2 linked regions of the Tribolium castaneum genome follow. The main gene of each other region encodes a partner of the protein of the gene in region 2 in a complex. Links are inferred from orthologs where the notes say so. Each region holds a gene or a part of one and is shown on either strand. Other genes may lie near its edges.

Region 1 (3,570 bases), about 23 Mb from region 2:
TGTTTGCACTGGAATATAAATGCATCCGGTTGGGTTTTTGCTACGGAGGACTATGACTTAGGAGACGGAACGAGATGCAGAATCGTGGGATTTTCTGGACCCAAAAAGTGAAGCAAAAATGTGGGCACTTCGAGCGTTATACCGGCGCCAAGTCGTTTTAAATTAATTTAAATTCATTCAATTATTCACTAATTACTTGAAAAAAAAAATGCAGGAATGTTGAGTTTTGCACTCTGAACAGACTGAGAAAAGCTGATCGTATTCCCAGCGTTTTGAAAAATATGGGATAGAGTGCTAATTGGCAAAGATTGAAATTTTTTTAAATGTAGTTTACGGTATTTTTTTTTCATTATGTTTATGTCTTACTATTGAGAATTTAATGCTCCATTTGCCTGTATTTTTTTGCTGTGTTAACCGATATACGAATACAATTTTTTCAAATCCATTGCTTTGGAAGGGAACGTTTTATTTGTACGACGTTTCGTATCCTAACCTTTAGATATCCGTAGTTTTTTAGGACTAGGTAACCAATAACACACCAATTAGATTATAAATAAATATTTATTAAATCCAAACAAATCAGACAGATTAAAACGCGTTAATGGGTCGAATTATTCAAGGAAGTGCTGTTAAAAAGCCGGTCTTTGATCATTTGGGCCATCAGTCCGTGAATAATCTCAATCGTAGTCTTGCAACTGTCCTTTGTAGCTTTCAACAGTTTGTCTTCTGTTCGTTTTTCGTGCGGATCAGTGCCGCCTACGATGAACCCCCCGCGCCCAATGGCCGCTTCCGACTGTTCCAACTTCTCCGACAAATCAAAAATTTGCCCAGTTGTGTAATCAGCATTCGTTAACAAACTAGACGAGCTCAAAGTATTGACCCAATATTTGTTCCACAAGGAATCAAGCAATCGCCTATCAAGTGACGATTTAAAATACGACACTTCAAGCGAATAATATTGTTTGCAATGCACCCCAAAATCCTCGATTTTGTTCAGAGGAATGGTCTGGTACTCTGACGGTTCCTCATTTGCTGGTTTGTACCCTTTCGGGTACGTCCTGAACGCCCCTAGACACACCTTCCCCGCGGAAATGGTTCTCACAGGATCAATCACAATGGCAACGAACGGTTCCTGGAAATTCTGGTTGAGCATCTGGGTGCCAACGTCAATCCCAGACAACCAGCACCCGTATCCCGGGTGGCTGTGGTACCAGCCTATCGCGTTCTCCTGGCGGCCCACCAGCTTCGCAGCCTCGATGTACGAACTCATGTACTCGTAAGCCTGAGCTTGTGCGTTGACTCGGGTCTCTGTCCCTTCCACAGGCAGCGCAAACGAGTCCATCACAAACATTGTGTTTCCGTCGACTTTGCCCAAAATCAGGCCCATGACCTCCAGGGTGCCCCCCGAACGCGCGTGCATGACCATTTTCAAGAGGGCCAAGGCCGAGATTTTGATATCTTTGAAGAAGTGAGGGCTGGAAATTGAGATTAGGTAAAGTGAGGTTAGGGCCGACTTTTGCCTACTCTTTCTCCCAGGGCTTCGCGGCGAGGATGTCTTGCTGCTGCTTCTTGTCGTAGCGGTAAATATCGTCGACCGAGTTCACCAGTTCGACTTTATTGGCCATTTCCCAGGTTTTTTGTGCGATTTGTTCCTGGGTTTCGGAGGTCCCCGGCTTCGACATTGCGGCAAAAGGGGGCAAAAGCTAATCACAAATGGAGAGTTATTGCGAAAATGACGAGGATTTACCGTAATTCTGGGCTATTTTGGGCAAAAATTCGAAAAAATCGGACCTGTCAAAACACAGATGTCAAATTACAGCGCTACCAATCGTAAATATAAAAACTGGAAGGACACTTTTTTAATTTTTTTTTTTAGATATGGGACGATTTACGTATTAATTGCTGTAATAATGAGACAATGCATAATGGTAATGAAAAAAAATCGATAAATTGTTTGTGGCACAAACCGACAAGGAGTTTTGTCACAGAAAATAATTATTTTACGAGTGGCTTGGCATTTGGTGGCCCGTTATTGCCTTCATTGGGCTATTTTTACCGAATTGTGTTTTTCAAGGTGGGACAGGTGTTCGCAAAGTGTGTTAACAGTCCTGCAGATGTCGTCCCATTAGCGTTTTTCTTTTGTTTTTTTCCCATTTGCACGAAACGACTTTGTGTTGGTTTTTGCGAACGTAAAGCCCGGCCGTAATTCGGTGTAACGTTATGGGAGTATAATTGGAGTCTCATCGTTTAAAACCCATAAACAAGTCCAACCACACCCTGACAGTTTTATTAGGGTGGTTTTTTAGCAGTTGGCAATTCTAAAGCGTCTTAAATCAAACCGACCAATCAGCGGGCGGCATTCGGTGCATAATGGTGGGGCGCCCGCCATTTTGATTCGAGATTATGCGCGTTTTAGTTAAAGAAAAGTTTGTAATAAGTAGTGTGGTAACGTTGTGTTGTAGAATTTGTGCTCGTTTTAAATAGGATTTTAGGAGGATAAGGTGAGTTTTGGGCCAAGTGGTCAATTAAATAGCATATTTTTGGGTCCGGGGGGCGATTTCCGCTAACAAATGCCGGCGAAAATGTCGTAGTTTTCGCGATTTGGGACGTTAGAGTCGAGGGATGCGCGCCGGTTGTCGCAGAATTCAAAAATTGGGGCCATGCTTGAGGCTGGGGGCTGTTGCTAGGCCGCGTTCTTTGTTAGTGCACGTCCCCCGTAATTAGGGGCGAATTCGTGACTTGGGGTCCGAGGGTGAGTCAGGGTGTCGGTGTGGCACCCACATGTCTGTGCCGAAAATCCCCAACGGAACGACCATTGTGGTGCACTTGCATTGTTCGGTTATCGCTTATTTCAAACGCAATTTGTTTATTATCTGTCTTCTTGCAATGTAATACGCGCCTGTAAAAAATTCAAATCCAAGGCCACATACTCGCGTATTGAAACACGATGAATTCCTTTCCTCCCGTTCGAACTAAATTTAGACTAGGGGATTTTACCCCCGAATTAAAAATAACCAGGTTTTTTACGCGTAAACCGGGTTTTTAAACGAGTCCAGATACCACCTGCTGCGAATTTTAAAATAACCGCAAGGATTTCCAGCGAATGCAGCTTTGTTTCAATTTAGGTGAGTTTTTGGTGGGTTCAACGGTATTTCCAACTAGTTTCGTGATGTATAGGCTCTTTGTAGTGCGGATAATGTTCTAAGCTGTGACAGTTTCAAGATTAATTTTGACTCCCAACCGGTTATTCTCCAGTAAAAGTTTACGGCTCTAAATCGTGACAATTAAATTAATAATTGTTATGCTTACATTGTAATATTGCGTGAAGGACGCTTTTTAAATTATTGACAGAAACGTGAAAAGCAGTCCCGATCTATTCTCGTTATTACAGTGGGGTCCGGTTATAACGAAATACATCAAAATCAGTTCGCTATAAGCGTAAATTTTCAAATAAAGTGTTTTTTAGCAGTAATTTTTACCCTACATATGAAATAAGACGAAATAAATAAGTATATATAGCAAAAAATTTTTATATGCAGAGTTTTGGTTGGCGAATAAATTTGGGACCAA
Region 2 (4,621 bases):
TTTAACAAAATAAAAATAAGGACTTTTTAACAAATCTTAAGAAAGTAAATGAGATTTTAAAGCTCGGTATGATCAGTAAGATTGTTTTTTTGGCACCAAAAATTAAAAAGAAAATACAATGAAATATAAAATTAAAGAATTATTTAACATTTTTTGTTCAAAGATAATAATCATACTTTTGATTTATGAGTTAGATCGATTATTCTTTGACACTGAAAATTAAAAAAGAAAGAAAAATAAAAAATAAGAATAAGGAATTTTTGTTCAAAGACAATCAAACTATTATGCTCGGTTTTGCTCTAATTACTTTTTGAGTTAGACTGTTTTTTTAACAAAAATAAAAAAATACATATACATATGAATATGTTTTTTTTTAACAATTGTTGCCTGAAAATGATAAAATTTTTCCGATTGTATTTTTGTTACTACAATGAATTTATCAGTAAAATAGATTTTTTTGACGAAAAAAAAATAAGTAAAATAAAAATAGAAATTTTTAAAACTTCTTTCCTTAAGACAATAAAATTTTTAAGTGTGATTTTATTACTACAATTAATTTATTAGTAAGACTTATCTTTTTTGATCCTAAAAATAAAAAAGAAAGAATAAAAATAAAGAATTCTTAACAGTTTTTATATCTTATATAATTATACTTTTTTAAGCTTAGTTTTTGTTCCAATTGATCGTCTTTTTTAGATACCGAAAATTAAAAAGAAAATCAAAATAAAAAATTAAATAAGAATTTTTAACAATTATTGCCAAAAAAAAATAATTTTAACGTTCGTTTTTTATAACCACAATTAGTTATCTGTAAGACAGCAAAATTAAAACAAAAGTAAAAAATAATTATGTGGAATTTTTTACAATTTTTAAGCTGGGCTTTTGTTACTTCAATTAATTTATTAGTATATTTAATATAACTGTTTTTTTTGGCTCCGAGAATTAAAAAAATAAAAATAAGGAATCTTTGACATTTCTTACCTAAGGATGGTTAAATTTTAAAGCTCGGTTTTTATTTACTATTTAATTTATCGGTATGATTTATTTGTTGCCTTATTTGACTATACTTATTTGAATAAATTTGTACAAGTTTTATAGACGCCAATTTGTTGTAATTTTAGCAAAACTTTTTATACATAAACCTAATAATAACAGCTAAATTTAATTGTTTTACCTTCAATTACTAAGAAAATCATTTATTTATTGTCATATAAGGATAAAATTACAAACAAATAGTGTCAATGATGTTTTGTGAAAAACTTAAAAGAAATAAAAGAACAAATTCTCCGAAAGAAAGCGAAACACTAAAATTGTTTAAAAACTTGAAACTTTTAATAGAGTTTTTTACCTTTTTTGGATCCAATATAGCATCAATTTGTTTATCCTTTTTAATAATTTCATTCTGCAATTTGCGTATTTTCACCTTTAGCATACGATTTTCGGTGCTAATGTTGGATAAATTTTTCTTCAGATGAAAAATTTCAGTCCGCAAATCTCCATCATCTTGTAACTAATAATACAAAGTATAAATAAACTAAAGTATAAATATTTTATTACCTCATTTCGAAACATTGTAGCCGAAGACGAAGTTACGTTTGTTTTGTTTGTAATTTAAGTATTGATCAAACAAATTTTACAATGTAATTAGCAACGGATTGCAGCAAACACAAACATAAATATAGCCGGGTTAAAAATATTATATAATTAAAACTATTGTATCTATTTTCTACTATTTCTTACTTTCTTTAATCAATGTTGTTAAATTTTAAACAAATTTAAATTTACCGCTTTATGTCAAAAGCTGCGCAGGCGCAATTATGTTTCTTTGACATTTGACAGCAGCGTGTGACAGCTGATCGGTTGTTGTGTTTAAAAAGTGCTTCAAAAACAACAAATTAACTAATAAAAACTAAAAAAATGGTTATTGAAAAAAATCCTTTCCCTGGCAATGCCTTGGAACAATTTGTTTTATTGTCAAAGTCAACAAAAGGGGCTGCTTGTTCCGAACTGATCAAGCAAGTGTTGGAAGCCCCCGGTGTTTACGTTTTTGGTGAATTACTTCACATGCAAAACATTGAAGAGGTAATCAAACATATTTTTACATTTATACATTAACTAAGTGTTTTGTAGTTGAGTAATACACCACAGAAAAATTTCTACAACACTCTCAACTTGTTTGCTTACGGAACCTACAAGGATTATCTAGCAAATAAGAAGGATTTAATTGAATTAAGCCCAGCTCAGAAGAAAAAGCTTCAACATTTAACCATTGTTACGTTGGCCACCAAATCAAAGGTAGTTAAAGTAATTCCACTTTAGTGAAATTAAGTTTTTAATATGGATAACTATAGATTAGGAAACGACACGACCTACAAATAAAAAGTCCTCGTTCTCGATAGTTTCGATAGTGTTGTGTAGATGGCGGAGCACATTATTGTATTAAAATTTATCAATGGTTTTAATAGCAGTTAGCACATGGTATCCAAAAAAAGCATGTTAATGCAGCTTTTGGCTATCATTTTTTATTAAAAAAAATACAAGTTATTGCAATTTGCGAATGTTTCGGCATAAAAATGTCATCAGCTCTTAATGATTTTGTTTAATCTAGTTTGTTTAAAAACAAAAAAATTGTTGGCGTTCTTTCCAAAGCACTCTTTGTAAAAATGCTTTTTTCTCCATTTTGATGAGCATTTAAGATTCGATTATATCATGTGATACATAGATGTAATCGGAAATGAAAACACTTCAAAAATACAAAAAGCAAATATGGCTTCCATAAGAAAAAACAAAATTTAGTGTTGTAACACTGACATCAAGAACGCCTTGGAAAATGGGACGACAGATTTAGATTTCTTGTAAAAATGTACCTAAAGAACGTTCTAGTTAAAAACGTCTAGTTCTTTTGGTTTTCACTCGAAAAAAATTAAAACCCAAATTTTAACCACCTCGTATCTCGTATAATAACTGAGATTCCCATGGTGGAGCTGAAAAAACGGCCACCCAGTACATTGTTTTGACTACTATAACAATCTAAAGATAATCGAGTATATTCCTAAAATTCATAAAAGGGACATAAATTTGTACCATGTTACATGTTCAAGTTAACAAAAAAAACAAATATAAAAAAATTAAAAAAAGATTTTTTAACCATTTTTGCCTAGCGATAATCAAACTTTTCTGCTCGGTTTTTGTTACTACAATGAATTTATCAGTATCTAATACGAGTGATTTTTTTGAAAGTGAAAACAAAAAAATTAAAAACATTTTAAGCTTCTTTTTGATCCAAAAACTAGAAATTTTTACCGTACTTTATAATAAATCTTCTAAAAAGTCTGCAATTTTTTTTTATTTTTTGTCAAAAATAATTAAACTATCGACAAATTTACGTCATTTTCAAGCATTTTTGCACAAAAACTATTCAGTTCAAAATTGTACTATTTTTTAACTTTGTAAAAAAGTTGCATTGCATTTTTCTCTACAACTTTTTTTTAATAGAACGACTCTATTTTCTTAACGGCAATGGAAAGAATATCGATATTTATGGTGACTTTTATCAATACGTCCTATACCAATCTCTTACAGTTTTTGAAAAAAATCACAAAAAACGGATTTTACTTGGTAGTTTTCATAGTTAATCAAGTATACCTTGCAAAATGGTCAACAATTATCAAACTTCAATTTTTTATTTAGTTTTTAGCTGTTTCATTATCGAATAATCAGTAAAATAATCACATTTAATTATAGTTTATTATAAGTTAGTGAATTATGTAAAGTAACTCAGTCAGTTTGCCATTGATCCTTGAACTTCTTGAATGAAAATGGTAAATAAATAGGACATTTCTTTTTGTTAACAGTACAATTTTATCGTATTTTTCAAAAGTTTACTTGATTAAAAATGAAAATAATGAGCTAAAATTCTGTTTTTTGCGATTATTTCAAATACTGTAAGAAATAGATATATAGAAGATGTTATTAAAAGTATGCATAAAAATTGATGTTCTTTTGATTGCTATTTAAAAAACTGGGTAATTCCATTTGAAAAACTGTTTTATAATCATTTTTTAATCATCATTTTCAACAAATCATACCTCTAGCTATGTTAGAAGTTAAAGTTTCTAATGTAGGCTCTAAAAGAATCAGCCTATCTACTAATTTAACAAAATTTGATTGATTTTTCTTAGAGCAAGTAATAATAAAAACAATGTTTTTTTAGTGTATTCCGTACAACACCCTTCTGGAAGAGCTAGGCATAACAAATGTTCGTGATTTGGAGGACTTAATAATTGAGGCGATTTACGCTGACATTATTCATGGAAAATTGGACCAGAAAAATAGTCAATTGGAGGTTGATTATGCCATAGGTCGTGATATTCGTCCTGAAGACATTAATGTAATTGTGAATTGTCTCCAAGACTGGTGTTCGGCCTGTGAAGGTGTTTTGGCTTGTGTTGAAACACAAATACATAGAGCAAATAATGAAAAAAATAAATCAATGTTGAGAAAAGCTGAAGTGGAGCAAGAGGTATTTTTTTCGAGTTTGTATCATTACTTTGTTTTAGATATGCATTTTTTTTGTAGATTAGTAACATTAAAAAGACTCTGAAAACTCAATTACAAGAAC

Evidence for each region.
Region 1: CSN7 (region 2) and CSN5 share a complex: the UniProt entries of both Drosophila melanogaster proteins name them as parts of the CSN complex. The link is inferred for Tribolium castaneum from reciprocal best matches to the Drosophila melanogaster genes CSN7 and CSN5.

Annotation. Positions count from the first base shown.
Region 1 is NC_087395.1:23,654,566-23,658,135, forward strand, and holds CSN5 (COP9 signalosome complex subunit 5), read right to left. Parts: upstream 2,069-3,570; 5' UTR 1,748-2,068; exon of another isoform or gene 1,704-1,747; 5' UTR 1,683-1,703; coding exon 1,525-1,682; intron 1,476-1,524; coding exon 599-1,475; 3' UTR 543-598; downstream 1-542. UniProt on the Drosophila melanogaster protein: Probable protease subunit of the COP9 signalosome complex (CSN), a complex involved in various cellular and developmental processes.
Region 2 is NC_087395.1:497,211-501,831, forward strand, and holds the start of CSN7 (COP9 signalosome complex subunit 7b), read left to right. Parts: upstream 1-1,820; 5' UTR 1,821-1,917; coding exon 1,918-2,082; intron 2,083-2,130; coding exon 2,131-2,295; intron 2,296-4,213; coding exon 4,214-4,522; intron 4,523-4,578; coding exon 4,579-4,621. Other genes in the region: IQ domain-containing protein E-like, read right to left, coding at 1,349-1,510, 1,558-1,572. UniProt on the Drosophila melanogaster protein: Component of the COP9 signalosome complex (CSN), a complex involved in various cellular and developmental processes.